Linked DNA regions of Arabidopsis thaliana. The protein of the gene in region 1 interacts with the protein of each later gene in a pairwise test. Each region holds a gene or a part of one and is shown on either strand. Other genes may lie near its edges.

Region 1 (7,442 bases):
GTTTTCAAGAATTTATCACAGAAAGAAACATGTATATACCTGTAACAACAATGACAAGCAAAACCGCAAAGGCAATGCTTCCACCATCAAGCCAACCTTCTTTCAAACCCTGATCATGAAGTAATAAGACAGAAAATTAGTACATTCCTGATTTCGAAAAACTAAGAACTTATCGAAAGGAAAGCATGTATACCTCTGTCTTTATTCCCAATGCCAATGATGTTACAGCCGCTATGATCAAGATGATGAGAGTTAAATCTTGCCAAGCTTCCCAGAGGAACATCTTTTGGACAAACAGAAAGTTGAAAAAAAACATATGAGTATCCACAAACCGATAAAAACACGGTCGAAGAAGTTGTAAAAGACTCTTTGCTTACAAAAAAGTTTTTCCCCTTCTTTTTTGGGTAAGTGTTAGATCCAAAAGCATTCTTCCTATCTATCACCTCTTTCTCATCCTCATTGATTCCTTGTTCCATATTTGACTTCAACTTCTCTGCAACACCTTTGACCTGAAAGATATATTAATGTCAGCATCAAGAAACCTTCCTATTTATGGAATGTGTGAGTCTTGAATCATACCCCTCCATATTGCTGCAAATTGGACATGTTCTGGTTCCTTGTCATAGACACAAGCTTTTCAAGATCAATGTCAAAGTTACCAGTAGAAGCTGCTGGTGTTGATGATCCAAACGCTAATTGATACCAAAAGAAACTAAAGATTATTCAACAAGAAACCAGAAAACAAAACAGAGATTTGCTTGACTTATAAGAGATCATACCAATTTGTTGTTCACCAGCCAGTTTAAAAAGCAATGCTGCCTGATTCATAAAAGTGATTTATCGATGTGAGATTCAATTAAACAAACAACATTGTTGTTGAAATGATAGGAAGAATTATATAAAGAAAATACATACCCTAATGACTTGAGCATGAGCTCTGATCATCCTCCTTCGATTATCATAATGTTCTTCTTTATTAAGATCCAAAGTGTATCGAAACCGACGCGATGCGTTCAACACAAGAGCGGCTTGTCTCCAACGACGAAGAGATTCAACAGAAGCGTTCTTGGTGTTATCAATATCAAAAGGATCATCAGGATCATGTTGAAGCTCTTCATGATCAGAATGTTCTTCAGTTTTAGCAGAACCAGCTTCCATGTCGTCATGACGTCCTGACATTGACGTCAGAAGCAATCCGTTGCTCGACGAAGTGCTCATTCTTCCTTCCTTCGTCTCACCCAGCTTTCTTCTTTCTTTTAAAATTCTATTGAAGAATTCGAAACAAAAAACGCAGAGAAAGAAAAAATAGGAACGACCGGTTTTATGATTTGGTCGTTATGGAGAAAAAAAATGATGGTGTGACGGAAGAGAGAAGGCCTAACTCGAGAGAAGGCAACAAAAACCGAAACACTTTCTCTCTTTTTTTTCTCTTACCTCTCTGTCAATCACAGAGAAAAAAAAGAGAAACTAATTTTTGAGTTTCTAACCAACATTAATATTTTGATTTACCCTAAAAAAAAACTATGAAAGAAAATGGAGAGAGGGTTCAAATTGAATGAGATCATTACTATTTTTGGTTTGGTTTGGCAAAATTTGTGGGAAGTTAGTTTTTTTTTGTTTCTTTTTATGGGAAAGAGAAGAAGAAAGAGTTTTTTCCGGGTAAGAAGAAGAAGAAGAACATGGTGGCATCTCTTAACATGGCATATATCTAACCATCTCATTTTTTAAAACAAAAATCTTTCCTTCTTCTCAGATCTAACTATGTTTTCGTTTTGTAATAAGTGGTATACCATTCATCTTTATAACTTATAAAATTATTCTAGTATTCTGATATACTATTGTTCACCTCGTATCATGTGAAGAATGGTACACTAATTATCTTCATACCTTAATCAGTTCTTTCTAATCAAGTTTCCAATAAAGATAATGGAAAAGAATAAAACAATGTGACAGAGAGAATAGTGAAGTTGCTGAGAAATTTCGTTTTAACCTGATGAACGTGTGTACGACATTAAGGTCACTTGGGTTGCACGACATAACCAATCATTGTTTCTATTTTTATACATAGATTGCATTATCTCTACTAAGTCTTAAATATTTAACTAATTGTAATCAAATACAAGAACAAAAAAAAGTTTTCTGCCTGAAAATATAATCAAACACACAGATGAGAGACTGAGCAAAGTTTTTTTTTTCTTTTCTGATGAGTGAGCTTCTAAATAAGTGAAGAGTGTCTTATAATTTGTAGAAGACTAAAATGTGCCCACATAGACTGAGATTAACCCAGAGAAACCCTAAACACAACTCAGATTCGATTCCATCATCAAATGAAATGATAACAACTGTTTTTGTTTGAGATCCTTTCTTGCTTCCAATGGTTTCTCAGTTCTCACTGTGTGTTGCTAATGTCACCAGTTACTTCCATCATTTGATCAGCCTCAAGATTTGCGTCCTGCAACAAAAGTGATTGAGAAAAAAAAAATGAATGTATGTTCTCTTAATAAGCAAATCAAAACTCCAGCTCTATGAAATACTGCGCTCACGGCTCACCTCATTCTTATTCAGAGATAGATGCTGAGGTGTTTGCGGAGGAGGGACTTTGGATAGGTCTCTAAGAGTCCCCTGATATTATAAAGTCAAAGGGAATGTTATTGTTAGGTTCATACTCGGATATATAGGCCTGATCAATGAGTCAAAAAAGTGATACGAGACGAGGTGATCAATGTGAACTAAGAAACTCTTAGCTTACCTTGTTTGCCCACATCAGTCCACACGCATTACAAAGTGTTCTTGGCCCATCAGGTCCACGTCGCATCATTGGAGTTGACTTCTCACTTGTTCCACAGTGTCGACATCTTAACATGTTCACAACCATTTGACGAAGAATAAGAACAGAGACAAGCTTTCCAAGTATACCAAGCTATAAATAAGTTCATATCAACTACAATGACTTAACATGCAACAACATAGTCGGTTCAGTTATTTTTATCCTCTCACAAGTATAAGTTATCAGTTGCAGGTATCGAATGAGTGATGCCATCATGATAAGTATAACTATAAATTTCAGAGTTGACGTATATAGACAAAGTTTATGGAAGTGAAAAGAGCGTCATTAAATGGTTACCAAATAAATTGTTTCCATGTATTAGACTTAATTGAGGTTTTATAACGAGTTCACTAAAGTTAATATAACTGTTGTAAGAAATTTAAAGCATTTTCAACTTACAAAACCTCTGGCTTCTGAGTCTCAGTCCCTTCTACGGCCCAGCTCTGGTTTGACCCCCAATCCGATCCAGTGGATCCAGAATCATCATTGCTTGATTTAGCCGACGTGAACTGACCTTTCTTACGCTGCATTCTGCATGAACAAACAAAACCTTAATTGCAAAACAGACGTATCTCAAAAGCTCGACATACACAAAAGCTAGTACTTGACATAAACGTACCTCAAGGCTACTTCTTTCCTGACTGTATAGCGAATAGTCTTATCAAAGTTCCTCCCTTTTCGTTTCTCCCTAAACCTGAGCAAAGAAGCTAACCGCTGCGGAACGCTAAGCCGTTGAGGAGTACCAGATAGACCCTGGTTCATTTATTAGTCAGCAACAAACTGGGGAATAAACTGATTTCCCATATGGTATTAAATCTTTTATTACCAGTACCCTATTGTTCTGATGAGGTGATCCTAGGGTTGTTGGGAGTGTATGTGGTACTTCCCTTCCACCAAGTAACAAAAGCACAGCTTGAACCTGCATAATATTGAGCAGCACTTCAATAAGCGAAAAACAAAACCAACCAGGTGGATACGTTGACCATATGTATCCAAAACTAAAACATCAAAGAACCAAAATTAACTTAAAGTTACCTTCTCAGGCGAGACACGGTCAAAAACATAAACTTGTCCCTGGAAGGACAATGTCAATTGATCTCCATTTTCAATTCCACGGTCTACAACTTCACCACGATTATCAGCTGAGTTTCCAGGGTGAGAAGGAATGTCTGTCTCCACTCCTTCATCCATCCCACCATCAGCATGGTCATCCATCATACTGTTTTCATTGTCGATATGGTGCAAACCGTGATCTTCATACTGCACATGCATTGGATTTTGCGCTACACCAATGTGCATTCGACCATTTCTTCCATGAAGATCATCCATGGTCTTTTTTCTGCAATTTGTTACCAATTACATCCAAAGGAAGATAACATTAATTAAGACTGGAACGTTCTTAATAACGAAAAAGCGAGATTGTCAGAGACGGTATAGGTTGAAGAAACTCAATAATGGTGGATATATTCTCACATAAATTGAGTTTGCAAATACAAAGAAACTATCTCCACCTAAGGGAAAGGAACTTCATTAATAGTTATCAGCACTGATATAGTACAAAGGAGCTTCTTTTATAACAAGAGTAGATGACAATAATCTAATCTCGAGTAAACAACAACTAACAACAGTCAACTACCTTAAAACGTAACAATATCTACCCAAATCCAGTAAAAAAAGTTTCATCAATCAGATTCGAATTGGAAAAAAAGTCTCCTTCTCTCATGCTCATAAGTCCTAAGCTAAGTCCCAACCTTTAAGCTAAGAACAAATAGACAGAACAATTCCAAATCCCACATATAAATGCTTCCAACTAAAAACCCTCCAAATTCGACAAGTTCATCTACAAACTAGAACCCACTACCTATATCATACATACAAAGACTTGTCACTTGGACAGGGCAATCAAAACAATAAACCAAAATTGACATCAAATGGGTACCTTTTGTGCAGAGGAATCCAAGCGAGAAGAATGAAGAGCCTTTGCAGAGCTAATTCACGCGAAACAATGAAAGATAAAGAGGATTTGATTATACAAAGAGAGAAAAAGGTTTAGGGAAAAATCCCAAAAGGGTAAACGGAGACGAGAGCGAAAAAAGGAAGCTCCTTTGATTTTTTTTTTCTTTTTTGGTCTAATGATTGTAGTGAAAGATTTTTCATTTTTCTTCAGCAAACGTCGTCGTTGTGATCTTGGGCCTTTTTTAGCCAAACGGCGTCGTCTTTGTGAAAGGCTTGACACTCCCTATTCTTTGGACCTCATCTTTAATTGGCCTCTATTTGAGTTCATATGTTTTTCTTTAGTGGTTTCAGGTTTGATCAAGATACACATTTACTCTTAATGATGCCAAAGATATAAAGACATTGGAGATGGTTTAAGGTCGCCAAGGTTTTTCACATAATTCTTTTAATCTCTTTTGTCAAGATATCTTTCTTTTACCAAATGACAATGTGGAATTACATTAGTTAATTCAATTTGTACCCATCTTTAAAAACTTCTTGTTGTTTTGGTTAGAAATCATATATAATTATAATATATCTCTACAAATAAACCATCTTAACACAAAATATCTTAAGTTAGATGGAACCACAACCAATTCTTCGGTGGAAAACAATTGACTCAACTATATCTAATATGTCAGATTTTAAAACTAAATTGCGTTCCTCTTTCATTTCTTAATTCCACAATATACAATTTTATTTTGATTTTATTTGCTTTTCCCTTATTCTTGCACAAAATTTACATATGTTTTGCTCTAATATGTTCTAAGCATTTCTAATTTTTTTCCTTTTCAAAATTTTGGTACTTAATAACTAATTGACCAATTATGAAAATGCCATGTGCCTCGAATTATCCACTAGCAAAAGGGTAGCAACAAGTTATAACTTAGAAATGCGTACATATATCTTACTTATAAAATATCAAGAGTTAGATTAGATAATGCATAGACTAGTGTGACAATTACAAGGCCATGCACTGGCTGACTTGGTGCCTCCTCCAAAGAACTAAATACCATGTTGAATTTGAACCAAACTTGGAACATATATGAGGAGACGTGGGGTAGGAGATAATTCATGTGTAGGTTTTGCACCATGATGATCCAATTCTATGAATTTATCATTTTCCACAATGTGTATGATGTCCTTGGAGTGCCGGTTGGGTCTATGACAAGAAACTACAACAATCTTCTCCTTAACTTGGTATGCGAAGAAACTCACCCCTTCCCTAAAATGACAACGATAGCGTAGACCAACTCCGCCCCGCAGTATTGGGAACTTGCTCCATGACATTGCTCTGGTGTTCTCACTAGTCTTCGTTGCTATCCATAAGTTAACGTTTGTTCCGGTTACGTATGTGTAATTAGTAGATAACATACAAAGTCGTTTCCCTTGTCTAGTCACTGATAAAGCCAAATGACTATCACCCTCTGGGAGAGACTCACTTCCAAATCTCTCTGTTGAGAAATCAAAACTTAGTAAGAATTGTTCACTAATATCAAACCAGTAAGTGATTCCATTTACAGACACGCCACTGGTGATATTTGGATTGAACAAGCCGGTGATCACACCAATACTCCTCCACGAATTAGAGTTAAAGTCATAGATTTCGTACTCGTAACGTTCTTGGCTATTGTTGATAACAAGATCCTCCCCCACGATGTTGTACACGTAACGTTCTTCGCTAGGATTGATAAGACGACCCTGCCTCAAGATTTTGTACTTGTTGCAAGAGGATCTACCGAGAGCATAGCAGTCATCTTTCTTGTAGCAAAATCTTGGTTGAATCCACCTTGTTTCACCTGAAAGCGGATTCCAAACCACCAGTCTATAGTCCTTGGTGGTGCATAGCAATAAGCCATCGCAGTGAAAGACGTGGCCTATATCGACTTCTGTTGAATAATTATTAGAAAGATGTTCTTTTAGGCTAAAATGACATGTTATGTTAACATATGGAGCAACGCTATTGTGAATTCCACGGAGATTGGATCTCACTGAATAAACCTTATGATCAATCAACACGAGAGCCATAGAGTGCCTTGGAGCATTAGAAGAGTGCTTCTTAGAAAGTTTCCCATCTTTGATCAAAGTGTTCCATCGTTTGGATGTTGATCGTAATCGTGCTAGAAATACAGCCGGAACTCTAGAGAGTATCTCCACTACCAAATCCTCCGGAAGGTCGTTGAACGTCATCATCTCTCACACGACTGTGATTAAACCAATTTTCAAAGAATCAAGATGGAGAGACGATAGAATCAAGATTTTTAATCTTCTTCTTTTTTTTTCTTTGATTTACTCTATAAATATGGGAAGATCATTTATATATATAGGAAGGAGGAGATCACGTAATTGTCTTTTATTTTATCCTTTACACTAATAAATATGGAGATTTTTTCTTTTTGTCCACACAGATTTTTAACTTCTTTTTTTCCTAAATTTAATTCTTACTATCTTTCTTTTTTCTCAACATTTATTTATCATTATTAATTTTTTCTATTTCTGTGGTTATAATTTTGTAACATTAAAAGCATATTCAATTAAAATTAAATGTAAATAATTTTATATAAATATGGGAAGATCATTTTTTTTCTTTTTACTTACTCAATAAATATGGGAAGATCAT
Region 2 (8,831 bases), on another chromosome or scaffold:
TTATTATTTTAATTTTCTTTTCATTAAAGAAACTGTTCAACTATAGATATTCCTTTGAAATTTTTCAGGAGGAATGACCTTGCACAGAAGGTGGCAAAGGATTTCTTACTTGATTTACAAAGCGGGACACTAGATTTGTAAGATCATTTCTTTGGCCTTTATTCCACATGTGTGACTGATCACAATTCTGTCATCTCTAACGCTCTCAGTTTCCCTTCTGTTCCAGAGGCCCTGCAGTGACAGCATTGAATAAATCCGGCCGGACCAGTGAGCCTAATTCTGAGGATGAAGCCGCTGGTGTTGGTAAAAGAAAAAGGCATGGTATGGGTGGAGCTAAAGAGAATGAACTTCTTTCAGCCGCACCGAAAGCACCCAGTTTCACCTCTGATCCAAAGAGAATCCTGACTGACGTTGAACAAACACAAGCCCTTGTGCGTAAGCTAGACTCTGAGAAAAAAATTGAGGAAAATGTTTTACAAGGTTCAGAAACTGAAAAATCAGGTAGAGAAAAGTTACACAGTGGTTCTACTGGTCCAGTTGTAATCATAAGGGGGTTGACATCTGTGAAAGGCCTTGAGGGTGTTGAATTACTTGACACGCTTGTTACATATCTATGGCGTGTTCATGGTCTGGACTATTACGGAAAGGTTGAAACAAATGAAGCTAAGGGTTTGCGGCATGTGAGAGCTGAAGGAAAAGTTTCTGATGCAAAAGGAGATGAGAATGAAAGTAAATTCGACTCTCATTGGCAAGAGAGGTTGAAAGGTCAAGATCCCTTGGAAGTGATGGCTGCCAAAGAGAAGATAGATGCTGCCGCTACTGAAGCTTTAGATCCACATGTCCGAAAGATTAGAGATGAGAAGTATGGTTGGAAATATGGTTGTGGAGCCAAGGGCTGCACGAAGCTGTTTCATGCTGCTGAATTTGTGTACAAGCATCTCAAGCTGAAACACACTGAGCTTGTCACAGAGCTGACTACCAAAGTTCGGGAAGAACTGTATTTTCAGAACTATATGAAGTATGTAGGCTTTTTCTCTTGGATTCCTCTACTGTCGTTTCTGACAGGTTCGTAATGAAATTTTTTTGTGCTATTTGCAGTGATCCTAATGCTCCAGGAGGACAACCAGCCACGCAGCAATCTGGCCCGGTACATGATCTTCTTTTGAGATTTAATGGAGTGTTGACTAGTCTGTACTTTTGGGTTATCACTTGTTTAGCTTGGTTTGAGTTTTATTTACGTGGGTTAATTATACTTTCAACAGAGAGATAGACCTATAAGACGTAAACCCAGCATGGAGAACAGACTGAGGGATGATAGAGGTGGACGCAGAGAGCGTGATGGACGTGCTAATGGAAATGACAGAAATGATCGGTCAGAAGATCAACAGAGAGGGGATAATGATGGTGGAAATCCTGGGGAAGTTGGGTATGATGCATTTGGTGGACAAGGTGGTGTTCATGTTCCTCCCTTCTTATCGGATATAAACCCACCACCAATGCTGATGCCTGTTCCTGGTGCTGGGTAGGTTTAATAAAGATTACTCACTCCCTTCATGATCTTGTTTTCAGAATAAATTAGTTACTGTGTTGAATCAATGATCTTAATGTGTCTGAATGATGATGTGGTCAGGCCACTGGGACCATTTGTACCAGCACCACCTGAAGTTGCTATGCAGATGTTCAGGGACCCAAGTGGACCCAACCCTCCTTTTGAAGGTAGCGGGAGAGGTGGACCTGCCCCTTTTCTGTTGTCTCCGGCCTTTAGACAAGATCCTAGACGGCTGCGCAGGTAACGTAGTTCACTCTGTGCTATGAGTCCATTACCCTATGATCAAGAGTGCAGTGTCTCTAAGGTACTAATGTATGAGAAATTTGGTGCAGCTACCAAGACCTAGATGCTCCAGAGGAAGAAGTGACCGTTATTGATTACAGGAGCTTGTAGACAAGACAGGGCTAGAGAGATCCCGAGTTTACTGGTTCGGGTTGGGTTAAAGGGCATCAGTATTAGAAGGCAAAGCTAGCAGATTGTGGCATTTTCTTACCCTTTTGATGTATTATGTCTTGTTCCTCCCAATTTTCACTCACTAAAGCGTAAAATACGCACTCCATACATTTCCTTATTGTTTTTCAAAATTTTTCATGTGCTTTCTTACTAATTCTGTTCGACGATGATTACATAAATAGCATGAGAATTTCTTGTATTGAATAATGCGTTTTATCCACATTGTTTGTTATCAATACTTAAGTCTCCATGGCAGTCTTAAATCTCCATGGCCATTAAATATAATCTGCAGTCAAACGAATGACTATCCACAAGAATCCAGGTTTTTAGGGTTCAATGTAAATAAGAAGGATATATACACTTCAAAGCCTGGCTCAATGCCTACCAGATTCTACACACTTGCGTAGATGACGTGACACTTACACATGTTACAATTACACATAAGGCATTGTATCGTAAATCTAACAACACTAATCACAGACGAGCTCTAATGAGGTTAACAACCATTTTCCAAAGTTTTCTTTTCCAGAGGTTGTTTCTCTCTCTCAACATCATTTGCGTTGCTTCTTTGCTTGAGATTCTGTTTGTAGCTCTCCCTGCAAATGCAAGATACCGTTTAGATACTCTATAAGACAATACATAGACCAAGTAATAGTTCAGGAACAATTATAGGTCGATATGAACCTAATTGATTGCTGTTACTATTACTAATTCAACTATCATTGGCCTTGTAATTATTTAATAACTACTACTTGGAAAAAGAAAAAGAAAAAGGGAGTGTGCCTACAACGATTGAGAGCTGCTCACGGATATAGGCCATTGATCTCAACATGGCACCTAGTGTATCTCGGGACACCTGAAACTTGACCTCTGATTCTCCTGTTGTTGTCTCGGTATCTTGAAGCTGGAGTAAGGAAAACAAAAGAAGATTTTTTCACACTGTTGAAACCTTCTAGTTCAATTAAGAGTCCCTAATATGGAGTAAAACATTGATTTTGGTAATCAAACATGAAATTTCATATTCAAGTAGTGACGCTAGTATAAATAACTGCAAAACGTATGGCAAGTTAACATGAATGAGAGAATCAGCTTAAACAAGTCAAACAACACAGAAGTTTCACACACTAACGGTAGATGGAATCTATGTTAGAACAAACCAAAGACAATCAATAAATTAAAAGGAGTTTAGTCAAGTCAAGAAGACTACATGAGAAGCTACGAGCCTAGAGTCTAAAAGACATACCTTCAAATTGATGACAGCTACTCTATTGGCTGGAGATGAAAGTTGCTCGCTAATGTAAGCCATGGACCTTAACATGGGTTCAAGTGTGACGCTAGACAGCTGAAATTTGACATCCATGTCTGCTGAGGGAAACTTTCTGTAATCGTGCAACTGAAAACATCATGAAAAATAATCCTCAGTAAAGCGGTCAACTACTATTTTGCAGGAACGAGCAAGACTATTAATGGCAACAACTTTGATTTTCCTACACTATAGCCAGTAACTTTTCCGAAAAGGCGAATGTCAATTGTTCAAATCTTCAAGATCATTATTCTTACAAATCTAATCTCTTTTAGATAAAGCATCCCATCAGACCAACTTTCAGTAAAAGTTACTGCAAAACCCTACAGAAAAGATTTACTGGTTCATATAATGCACACCTTTAAATTGATAACTGCAACTCTACCACCCGGCATTGTATTTTTACTCTCCATCCCCCAAGTCAATGACTTAAGACAAGGAAGAGCCACCTGTAAGACAAAGTAAATCAAGTTACTGACCAACACCAATAGAATCAAAGAAATAAGTCTGTGAAAGGTTTCCTCTGGGTACCATATTCTCAGGAGCAGTATCATCTCGGTGAAGTGACACTGGTGCCATACGCGGCAGATTCAGATCAGAAACAGATTGAGCTCTGGCCCCACCATCGTTAAGGTTAAATCTGCGTATCATTTCATCCTGGCGCGGCCACAGCAAAGGGGTTGTGTCAGCAGCTGATAGAGAGGTCTTGTCACCACTACCAATTCCACCACCATGTGAGCTAGGAGGCGCAGCTCTACCTATCCTTTTCCTGACAACTGAAACCTTCTTTCCACCTTCTCTGAGTTGCCCTAAAGCAATATTATAAGCTTCAGCTGTAATTGCCCCTTCCTCAGCATACTTGATGGCTTCGCGACATAAATGATTATAGCGGTGTATCGAGCTATCATGCCCATTTTCACTGACATGCTCATCTAACTCTACCATGCTCTTGGCATTTCTTGTCCACCGTCTCAAAATATAATGTGGTGGCAAAGTGAGTATATTAGTGACAGTAAACACCGTCAAAACATGTCGGCAGAGTATGCCGGAGTGCTCAAACATTTGACAGCTGCAGTTTGCTCTCATTTCAGGGTAGCAAAACGTTACTATATAAGCTTTGTTGTCATTTTCAAAATTTGCAACCCTAAATGTGCTGGTAGTACCATCATCTTCAATTCTGTTTGCCGTGTGAGCGAATGTCTCTACCAACTCTTCCTGGAACTTTCCAAATATTTTCCTTGTAAAGAGATTTGCAGCCTGATTCTCCATGGGTGATGGCGTCTTCAAGACTGGAGGTGTGTTGACAGTGTCAAGATCTGCTTCAATCTCCATCTCGAACCAGCTCTCCATAGCCCTTTCGTACAGCCTAAAGAACATCGGAAGGGTTGTCTGCTGATTCACATATCCATCGAAAAAGGAACCCGAATAACCTTGGCTAGGAAACACTGCAGCAAAAAACGAATCCCGGAAATAAACAGGTACCCACTGAGCTCGAGCATTATATAAAGAATTAAGCCATTCATGTCTTCCTAAGTCATATTTGTCAATGACAGAACTCCAGGACGATTCAAACTCCTCAATCGTTTCAGTAAAGTTGATACAATTATATAGCTCCACCTGAAAACTAGGATACGCAAGACACACATGAGCCAGCTTTTCCTGACCTTCTCTTAGCACATCCCACTTATTAATACAGTGACGAGCACCTGGAAATACCTGACCAGCAGCAATCTGTATGGCTCTATCTTGATCAGTCACCAAAGAAACCGGCGGTTGATCTCTCATTGCTGTTAGAAAAGTCTTGAACAGCCAGATAAATGAAGTGTCTGACTCGTCCAAAATAAGTGCACAGCCAAATAAGATAGCCTGACCATGATGATTCACACCAGTAAATGGCGCAAAAGGAACACGAAACTGATTGCACCTGTACCTCGTATCTAAGGTAACCGTGTCACCAAAATGAGTATAAGCAACCCTAGATCTCGAATCAGCCCAAAACACATTTGACATCTGATTATCTTCATCAAGCTGAACCGCATAGAAAAAGCCAGGATTCTCTGCCTGCATCCTCTTAAAATACTCCAACAGATTATGTGCATCCCGTCCAATCGTTCTCTTCGTGTTTGTAGCCATAGACGCATTTCTAGCTCCTCTGCTATTAGCATCCATAGAAACATACATCATACCACTAGGCACATTAACCCCTTCTTGATAACTAGATTTCTCCGAGTTAGCAAAATGCCTACGAGGACGAAGACAATGAAGCATATTAGAACTTGCTAATCCATGAGTATGCTCTTTAACAAACTTTGTAACAACCCATTTCTCATGACCTTGCAACTCTATCCTAACCATTGCATCACAACTCTCAGAAAGCCTTCTCTTTGACCTTTTACTACTACTACTACACACAAATTCTCGAACACTAACAGACCCATCAGTTCTAGGAAGAAGCTTAGAAGTAAAACCAAGCTGCCTCGAGTACTCATCATAGAAAGATTTAGCTTCTTTTTCTGAATTAAACTCCATACCAACACATGGCTCTGCAATTCCAATCTCATCTTGCACCCCTAACGAGTTATCCATGTTGTTCTGTCCACTGCAATCACTAGGTTCAACATCTCCTTCATCTCCTATCTCATGATTCCCCATTGACACATTCTCTTCCACCAAATGAACATCCATAACCTTCACTTAGTAGAGAAGTTCTAATTTCACACAAATGTTTCTCATCTTCATAGTCTACAAAAAAGTACTATTAGTGTTTGGAGATCTTCTTCCGAACATATAAATATGAGGACTTTTTGCATCTCTCACTCTCCGATTGTTTGTTGAGAGAGAGAGAAACCCAGAAAGAGGAGAAAGCAAAAGAGAGAAAGAGGAGCTTACGTCAGTCAGTGATGCGAAGAACTCAGAACTCAGAAGAATCGAAAGTCGTGAAATTAGGGAGAAGGGCAACAACAATTGGGGAAAATTGAGAAGAAGCTATGGCAGCTATTTCGTTTTCAGATTCGACCGGAGGAAATTAAACTCCTGCTTCTTCTCAGTCGTTCGCGAGGAAGAAGAGATTCAAGCACGAAACCGACGTCGTTTCGTGCTTTTGTTGGTTTTTTTTTTTCAATTTAAATAGCGAGACCTCGTTTTAATCTAAACCCAACAACAGAAAGCCCTCATAAAAAGTGAGGCCTCATTTGAACCGAACCCAACAACCAGGAAAGCCCTTGATACAAGAGACAACGCGCGCGAAAGCATTTCATCTTCTTCATCTGTCTTTTTTAGTTGAGCCCTAATTCATTTTCGGATGACAACTTCATTTCCTTGTATTGTCGTCATAAGAATCTCAGGTTCTAGATGATTCTCTCTTCTCTTATTTGATCTGGTTCCATCTCTTCACCGTACCAGTGTCAATCACGAATCCCTTTGTTTTGAACCCTAATTTATTTAATACGCAACACAAGCAATCAATACAAGAGTCTCTTAGCATCATCGGCGTGGGCCAAATATGAGCGGAAGGAGATGTGATCGGAGGTTGAATGTGCAGAAAGTTTCAGCGGCAGATGAACTCGAAACTAAACTTGGATTTGGGCTTTTCTCCCAAGGGGAAACGCGGCTCGGGTGGCTACTCACGTTTGCATCAGTAAGTCACGTTTTGTGACTTCCCTAGTAGTTAGTTCTCTGAATACTGAAAACTTCTAAGTACACTCACTGATTGGTTATTATACTACGTTGTTGGCAGTCATCTTGGGAAGATGCCGATACTGGGAAAACCTTTAGTTGTGTGGACCTTTTCTTTGTCACTCAGGTCAGCTGTGGTCATTGCTACTATATTAGCTTCTTTCTTCGTATCAGTTGCTCAACCCTTTTTGTTTCTTTCAGGACGGCTCTTCTTTTAAGACTAAGTACAAGTTCCGCCCTTACTTGTATGCCGCCACCAAAGTATATATGTTCTCTCTGTACTCGAGTGTTTTCTTCCTATATGTCAACTAAACTGCAATGCCCTTTTTACAGGACAATATGGAACTGGAAGTTGAAGCCTACTTGAGACGCCGATATGAAAGACAAGTTGCTGATATTCAGATTGTTCACAAAGAAGATCTTTATCTTGTAAGTCACTAAAGCATAACTCCTTTTACGCAGTTTGCAACTACCTGTTGATTACTCGTTTCTTTCTCTCTATATAGAGGACTCATGTCAATTACATTTGCTACAACTTTTAGTTATTTTCCTCTTCTTGCAACTTCAAATTGAGCAGCTCTAGTAATAAGTCCAAAACTGATCTTGCTTCCATGTGCTCAAATCATCTATCTAGCCTGCCAAAAACGTTCTTGTAACTCAAAAAACGTTTGCTAGTAAATGTTTAAGTGTTTAATGCTTCTTCTTTAGTGGCAACATTATGCAAGATATGAACGTTTTCAGTACCTCTTGTTTGGTTGTCACTTTTGCTGACCTTTTCTTTGACCTACCATACCAATTTGAGTTTCTTGATTTCTTATGTTCATGAGCAGAAAAATCATCTATCTGGCCTGCAAAAAAAATATCTCAAAGTATCATTTGACACTGTGCAACAATTGGTGGAAGTAAAGAGGGATCTGTTGCATATTGTCGAACGAAACCTCGCAAAATTTAATGCACTTGAAGCTTACGAATCCATCTTGTCTGGAAAACGGTAAGGCAATGTATTTTTGTTCTTATAAATTTCCAGAGTTCTTACAAATTTATCCCTTAAAACTATGTTGTTCCTTAGTTATAATTTCCAAGTCTTGGAATGTAGAGAACAACGTCCTCAAGACTGCTTAGACTCTGTGGTGGACCTCCGCGAGTACGATGTTCCTTATCATGTCCGATTTGCAATTGATAATGGTAACCTATTTAGTCAAACTTTTAATCCTAGTTTAGCCCTCAAGGTTGTCAAAATCATGATGTGTTCTCGCTGTCCAGATGTGCGTAGTGGGCAATGGTACAATGTCAGTATTTCCAGCACTGATGTCATACTAGAGAAGAGGACGGATCTTCTCCAACGCGCAGAAGTTCGCGTTTGTGCATTCGATATAGAGACAGTAAAGCTTCCATTGAAGTTCCCGGATGCTGAATATGATCAAATTATGATGATATCCTACATGGTTGATGGGCAAGGTTTTCTAATTACTAACAGAGAGGTAACTGCTGCATACATTTGTATTGCATTGGATTTGATCTAATCAATGATGATATATTACATGATGGATGATGACCGTTTCCAAATCATAAACGTAGATAAGCTGCTATATAGCCCTTATGTGAATTTGGATTATTTTGATTGCATTCTTAATCCAAGATAAATCAGATATGATCCATACGAAATTATCCCGCTTGTTTGATTGATTGATGTGTGACTGTAAGACTTATTGTTGTGGACTAACATAACGTTTTGCTATGTAATTTAAAACATGAATTTTTTTTCTTAACAATTTTCCATTGGATATATCATCTCTGGTTGATATCTCAGCTCTATTATTTCTTTTAAATATTTGGGCCACTTCAATCTTG
Region 3 (6,770 bases), on another chromosome or scaffold:
TAAGAAGGGAGCAGCAAGTTCAAGGTAGCAGTGACAGAAAACAATGTCTGGATTCCATGGATTTTAGAAAAAGGAAAGCAAAAGTGTAAGAAAACACTTACATGATTGCTCATCTCTCGAGCTTGACAAGCTTTGGCTGTAAAAGATCGACCCTACCCTCTTTGTCCGATTTCCGCATAATATGATCAACGGCATCTTCGTTTACAAATCCATGGCGACTTGTCTGTAAGAAATCGGGAGGGATAGGGGCAAAAAGGAAAAAAAAAAGAGTAAAGATTCCACTATCCCAGAATTTGTTTGGGACTTTGAACTGCGGGAATCGAAAACGCAACCTTTCTACTACAGTGTCACAATGTCATATCATAGAACAAAAATTAGCTTATTTTTGTTATAAAACAACATTATGTTTCAATTAAGAGAAATCTAAGACTACAATAAGAGAACTTGGTCTACAATTGCAATATTAGCTCTCACATCCCATATAATTTTAACATGATAATTATTGATACAATTCTCTGTAAATTTTATCCACAAAAATATAACACAAGAAGAAGAAGGAGATCAAAGGCTTGCATCAGCATTAGAACCACCACCACCTCCTCTCTTGTTTCCTGTTGTGTTCTTCAGAATCTACACCACATAAAAAACATAACAACTCAAAAGACTTTATTACCACACACACACATAGAGATCCAACTTTGCAATCTCATCTTCTCCATTCATATAGAACAAAATGAGTGAGCATTTCAAGAACCATTGAAGAATTTACATGCCTTTTGAGAGAATATGCGAGTGAATGACCATTTCAAGAACCTACATGCCTTCTGAGAATTAATCTAAAGCTTAAGTTAGCTTCTTAGATCCTTTTAACTAACTAAACTAATTATTGGTCAATCCTAGACTCGTAAATGTGATAAACCAGTACTGTGATATATCAAAAAACAAATGGCAAAAGCATTGACGTTGCAGGTTAAGTCAACAGTAAGATCGACAAAACGTACATGTCTAAGCATCTGGTTCTCGTTCTGAAGAGTAGAGAGTCGCTCTTCAAGTTCAGAGTTTTTGTTCTCCAAGTCTTTCACTCTGTTTTCCAACTCGCTCAAGTAAGCCTTTTTCCTCTCTCTTGCTTGCTGAGCTGAAACTCTGTTCCTCAACAACCTTTTCACCACAAAATTACCAAACAACCCCATCACGCAACCGTTATTTAACATAATCACCTTCCATATAAAGGGTAAAAATGTAAATTCAATGAATAGAGAAAAAGACACCTCTTCAGCCGCTTGTTCTCTTTCTCCGCCGGTGTCCTCCCTCGCTTCCTTTGACTTTCTCCGACAGTCGCCTGTGTCCGCTCCTGACCGGTCGCCGATCCAGATTCTCTACCGGAAGTTTCTTTTCCGACAGCTTCTCCTCCAAACTCCGGCACTCGCCGTATCTCCTCATCGCTTTCAATTCCTTTAAAACATAAAAGAGACTTTAGACGAAAAGTTTCAAACTTTTTAAATACAATAAAAAATTGCAGATCTTCTGGGGGAGACTAAAAGTTGTGAATCTAGATGTGAATCAATGGTGATACAAAATCTAGATGTGAATTTACTAGATATCCAATGCATGAGAATGAAAATCAATGAGATCACTCGTTGGGAGAAGATATGAAAATAAAACAATCGACAATTTTTGTTTACCTTCTTTGATCTCCAAATGTGGAGCAGAGCTTGATGACCTCTCGCTGCTTGATGGTAAAGAGCTTGCAGCTAAAGAGCTAGTCGCTTGTTCCTGCATTTTTCTTACTCTTTGAAGATCGATCAGGCGAGAGAGAGAGGGAAAGATTTGTTGTCTTAGTAGCGAAGCTGGTGAAAAGGATAAAGAGGAAAAGAGCGGGACTTGGGATTTACAGAAGAACTTGGAAAGAATCTAATTGCGAGACATTTTGGGAAGGAATAGATTACTCTGGCTACCGCCGTCAGATCTCTGAAGAATCGAACGGATATCGAGAGTGAATCGTGGAGAAAGGTGAGCCTTGAGGAAATACAAGGATCCAAAGGCAATTGAGATTGGAACGTGGGTGGATTTTAGCCGTTAGATCTGGTTAGCATCTTACGGTGAATAATGGATAGGGGAGCTAATTGGGTGGGCCCCATTCCTGTCCTTGGACAGAAAAGTTTGGTCTGAGTTCTTTCATTCTGTCACATGGCCCACGCCTAGGGCAGTGCTTTCAAAAGTGTCGTGAAAGTAATTTATTTTATTTTTGGTGATTTGTTTTTGTCATGCATTAAAATTAAACTTTATAGCCGCCATAAACCAAACAAAGTTGAAACGGTTTTCTACAAGACACAATCTCAGCAAGGAAATAACTAAAAACTGAATACAAGATATCCTAAAATTTCATAGTCCAACATATCCAGCCACACCATTGGACAGAATCTACTACTATAAACACTCCTCGTATCACCAAAAAAACTTGTCCTTGACGACAATGTTGATGAGTTTCTGAGAATCAAGTATACAAATCATTGCCATCTCAACGTTAACATTAGATCAAACCGGAGCTTGATATGGAGCTCGCTTATCTGGAACTCCGTCTTCTGCTCTTTTATCTTCGAACCACTTCAAAACTCGCTTCCTTGGAAGATTGGTCACTTGAACAATGCTGCTAACCACAGCATTCTATTCACAGCATCATCAAACATGATCATATGTGAGATAGAGCATTCAAGTAACATAGAAATTGATTCAAATGTAAAAGGAGAATCCTTACAGTGGGTCGTTTTGATCTTCTGTAAACTTTCTCTAGCGTTTCAATGTGAGCTTTCTTCACTCTTTTCTGAGCAGACCATCTCTGTTGCATCACATGAACTGCTTCATCTTTTACTTTTTCCTTAGGTTCGACCACAACATCTTCAGCTGATAATGATTCCACAGGACTTGGATCAGGTGAGGAGTTCTCAGGTGCTGCTACTGGCGGTTTTTCATCTGGTAGTGTAGCACTTAGCATTAGCAGCTTTGGAGGCGGGTCACGAAGCAATTCAAGAACATAAGCCCTGTCAAGACAAACCTCAGCTGCCAGATTTTTAATCTACAGATCACAACAAAACCATCCGTTATCAATTATGCATTTGAAAACCAGAGAACTACTTGTTCTTTGTCAACTCTTAAACAATTCGTAAGCAAAATCTCCAAAGCAGACACTAACTCAAGCACTATGCTTTACACAATGTATTCAACATCACTTCAACACTGAACTAAAACTTACACTAGTTTTACGACGCCCAGCTTTCAATGCATAAGCCAGTCTTTTAAGCTGCCAATTCTTCAGCTTAGTCGGTCTTTCATCTTCTTCGCTGTCATCATCATCATCATCATTATCATCATCATCATTATCATCATCATCATTATCAACATCAACATCAACATCACCAGTGACTGAACCAAACAAGTCGATGTCATCAACATCGTCACCAACACCCAATGCTCGAGCTAACTCATCGGCTAATGCCTCTAACTCTTCCTCACTTATCTCCTCATCATCCGAGTTATCATTCTTCAAATCTTCTTCTAAAAGATTAAACAATGCCTCAAATGGATCCTCCTCCTCCTCACCTCCTCCATTATCAGCTCCATCCAAACTTTTCTGCCACAAACCATGAAATCAAAGGCTGATACAAAATCAAAAAGAGCCAAAGTCTAATTCGAGGATTCACCAATTCTAACCGATAATAGCTCACTTAGTTAGTGTATCCAAATTCTAGTCAAATTCGGCGAAAGCAGCAGGTAAGAGCAATTGCGAACATAAATCATTCTCATTCTGATTTTCTTACCTTTTTGTTTTTCTTCGGAGACGAAGAAGACGAAGACACGAATCCTTTTCGATTCTTGCCACGAGCAAAAACAAGTACAGACCGAGACGGATTGAGAATTGGAAGAGATAGACCACAAGGACTAGCGTTCCGATTCCGAAACAGAACTCTGTTGACGGATAATCCTGACGACGAAGAAAACGACGGAGGATGAAGATGAGAGACGACGCCGGCAGAAGATAGAGCCATGGCTTTTATCATCAAAACTGTTTGCTGTTTTCAGCAGCAGTGAGAAAAATAATCGGATTTTTATATGAATCTTTGTAAACGACGTCGTTTATCCCTTAAAGATCTAAACACTGACTCCGTTTTGTGTTTACAGTGTAGCAAAGCGTGTCGTTTATAAAGTATTTATTTTGTTCTTCGTCGTTATCGTCTGGTAACAACGGGTCCACTCTGCATCTCTCTCTCTCTCTCTAGATTTGATTTCTTTGCGGGCTTGTTAATGGCGAACCCAGGGCAATCAAAGGGATGGATAAAGAAATGGACGTCTATGGCTTCATCGGTTTACTTCGTCTTGATCTTATTCCAGATCCCTCTCTTCAGGTAAATTCATACTAAAACAAACTCTCAGCTGCGTAATTCGAACCCTATATTTCGTTATCTAGTGATGCGTCTATGAATCCGATATGTGGACGACGCTTAGTCTTTCTCTTGCGTAAGGTTGATTAATGAAAAACTTGATTTCTGATTCATTTTCAAGTTTCCGCATTTTTGTGTAGCTGGTTTTAGTATGAAACTCTAAGCTGATTCAAAATTTTATCAGTTGATTAGAATCTTAATAATATGGATCATTAGTCATTACTTGGTTTGTTTGTCTCTCTGGTTGATCTGACTTGAATCGTAATCTTAAAAACAGAGTTCCATGTAGATCTGGTATGTGTTCATCGCCAATCCATGTGACATCGTCTCAGTTGATTTCTAGTGAGATCTTTCCTGTTCCGATGATTAAGGCTCTCTTATACCCTGGTGCTGTAGTCAATGGCCTTGCCATCAACATGACATTTCCAAAGTGGGAAAATGTGTTAGATATCTACAATCTCACCAATGTGAAAGAAGCTTCTGCAGTGACCGATCTTCAACGCCTAGAGGTTCGCTTATTCTATCTCAAGAGCTCCTAACACAGTTCACTTAAGATTCTACTAATAGTCTCACAAGTGATACATTTTGTACAGGTTCTTGCAGGGAGCTACTTTTCTGTAGCTGGGGCGTTTGTGGGTTTGCTAAAGCCTGGAAGGATGAGCATGTTTGGGTCATTGCTACTAGTATGGGGTCTTGTTAAAGAAGGGATCTTAGGGAAGCCAGTAAATACTGACCCAGCCAAAACTGTTTATGTGTACCCAACTATGGTGCTTGCGATGATCTGCGCTTTCTCTATGATAAAGTATGACTTGAGGAAAGCCACGAGGGCAGCTCCAGCTCGTCCCATTGCTAAACCTCTAATGAGCTCTTCAAAATCTAAGCTGAAGTGAGTTTTTTGAGACTTAATAGGGCTTGTGTCCTGTCTTTGTACCAACACCCGGGAAAGGAAAATGTCCCGGAAAATGGCATTGTCACTATATTTTGCTCTCAGTTACCTTATGTTTCATGAATTGTCTATTTTCTAGGACACTGCTCAGTAGTCAATATCTTCCAATATCAAAAAAGCACATAAATACGAAAATTGAAATGAGTAGCAATACAAGGGGTTCCAATGAAAAACCATCGTATTGCTTCCAGTTTCATAATTCGTCCATCTTGCTCTTCAACTTGTTCGTGTAACAGCTTATTAACTGTAGTTTTTGAGGAATGAATCCTTGATAAAGTCCCCCCTTTCCCCATATAATATAGCGTCTCTTTACTTAACCGAAAAGCCTATAACATTCACCACGAGAGGTTCGGATGACTTGGTTAAGTCCTACCAATGGTATGCGTTTCTTGGTCAAATGAAATAGTGTTTTTGAAAGGCACAAACGATTTGCCATTGACATTTTCAATTTCTGACTAATTCTTTATCAATTTCTTTCTCCAGTAGTGCAAGAAACAAGTTTTCTCTCATCTTTACAGAATTCAAAGCTCTGGTGTAGTTGAAGTCATATAAGACATGGATCAGAATCAGGGTATTACAGTCCTTCCAGGTGATGCCCTTGTGGATTCCATCAAAGAGAACTTGGAATCTTTGTCTTCTCTTTCAACCAACTGTTGTATCTATAAGGCACCTGAGAGGCTGCGCAGATTGAACCCCGATGCTTATTCGCCTCGGGTTGTGTCGATTGGACCCTTACACTACGGTAAAGAAGAACTTCAAGCCATGGAAGATCATAAACTTAGGTACCTACAGAGTTTTATTCCTAGAACAGCCTTAAGTTTGGAAGACCTGGTAAGAGTTGCAAGGACATGGGAAGAAAGGGCTCGCTTTTGTTACACAGAAGATGTAAGACTTAGTAGCGATGAATATGTGAAGATGTTAATCGTTGATGCAAGCTTCCTAGTAGAACTTCTTTTGAGGTCTCAGTTTGATGTATATAGAGGTATGCTAGATAGGATATATGGGAAGCAAAAGATGATTGTCGATGTGAACCATGACGTTATGTTACTTGAAAATCAGCTTCCATATTTTGTTGTCGAGGGGATGTTTGGATTGCTACATGTTGACTACCATAGGGAACTTCCCCCTCTGACTCGAATCATTCACAACCACTTCAAGAAATTCTGGATGAGCATCCCTTCATTTTCGAGAAGCATTTCTGATTCAAAGATCTGTCATTTTGTTGACCTTCTGCGATCTATTCACCTGCCTTTGGTTTTGAGTTTTCCTGGAGGAAGCATGAGGATGATGGACTCTGTACTGAGTGCAAAAGAGATTCAAAATGCCGGTGTTAAGCTCCAGCCCGCAGATAACAACACCTGCGCACTTGACATAAGCTTTGCAAACGG

The links.
Region 2: the proteins of ZML1 (region 1) and FRS3 interact in binary tests that used the Arabidopsis thaliana proteins (3 or more experiments, as listed by UniProt).
Region 3: the proteins of ZML1 (region 1) and OCP3 interact in binary tests that used the Arabidopsis thaliana proteins (3 or more experiments, as listed by UniProt).

What each region holds. Positions count from the first base shown.
Region 1 is NC_003074.8:7,419,546-7,426,987, reverse strand, and holds ZML1 (ZIM-like 1), read right to left. Parts: upstream 4,953-7,442; 5' UTR 4,767-4,952; intron 4,167-4,766; 5' UTR 4,157-4,166; coding exon 3,863-4,156; intron 3,747-3,862; coding exon 3,654-3,746; intron 3,581-3,653; coding exon 3,447-3,580; intron 3,359-3,446; coding exon 3,227-3,358; coding exon of another isoform or gene 3,223-3,226; exon of another isoform or gene 2,856-3,222; coding exon 2,750-2,855; intron 2,623-2,749; coding exon 2,551-2,622; intron 2,453-2,550; coding exon 2,390-2,452; 3' UTR 2,083-2,389; downstream 1-2,082. Other genes in the region: ACA9 (autoinhibited Ca(2+)-ATPase 9), read right to left, coding at 40-109, 194-283, 378-509, 580-692, 780-819, 916-1,218; AT3G21170 (F-box/associated interaction domain protein), read right to left, coding at 5,828-7,015. UniProt on the Arabidopsis thaliana protein: Transcriptional activator that specifically binds 5'-GATA-3' or 5'-GAT-3' motifs within gene promoters.
Region 2 is NC_003071.7:11,574,416-11,583,246, forward strand, and holds FRS3 (FAR1-related sequence 3), read right to left. Parts: upstream 6,403-8,831; 5' UTR 5,991-6,402; coding exon 3,837-5,990; intron 3,755-3,836; coding exon 3,665-3,754; intron 3,396-3,664; coding exon 3,246-3,395; intron 2,907-3,245; coding exon 2,790-2,906; intron 2,599-2,789; coding exon 2,554-2,598; 3' UTR 2,253-2,553; downstream 1-2,252. Other genes in the region: SE (C2H2 zinc-finger protein SERRATE (SE)), read left to right, coding at 69-137, 227-1,018, 1,099-1,147, 1,263-1,522, 1,631-1,789, 1,882-1,942; TIL2 (DNA polymerase epsilon catalytic subunit), read left to right, coding at 6,808-6,942, 7,042-7,107, 7,182-7,241, 7,314-7,409, 7,811-7,971, 8,077-8,165, 8,244-8,461.
Region 3 is NC_003076.8:3,593,022-3,599,791, forward strand, and holds OCP3 (overexpressor of cationic peroxidase 3), read right to left. Parts: upstream 4,217-6,770; 5' UTR 4,056-4,216; coding exon 3,816-4,055; intron 3,629-3,815; coding exon 3,251-3,628; intron 3,074-3,250; coding exon 2,756-3,073; intron 2,665-2,755; coding exon 2,536-2,664; 3' UTR 2,253-2,535; downstream 1-2,252. Other genes in the region: HY5 (Basic-leucine zipper (bZIP) transcription factor family protein), read right to left, coding at 897-1,158, 1,269-1,452, 1,683-1,779; AT5G11280 (tail fiber), read left to right, coding at 4,300-4,400, 4,714-4,945, 5,030-5,326; AT5G11290 (transmembrane protein, putative (DUF247)), read left to right, coding at 5,938-6,770. UniProt on the Arabidopsis thaliana protein: May modulate chromatin structure by regulation of nucleosome assembly/disassembly.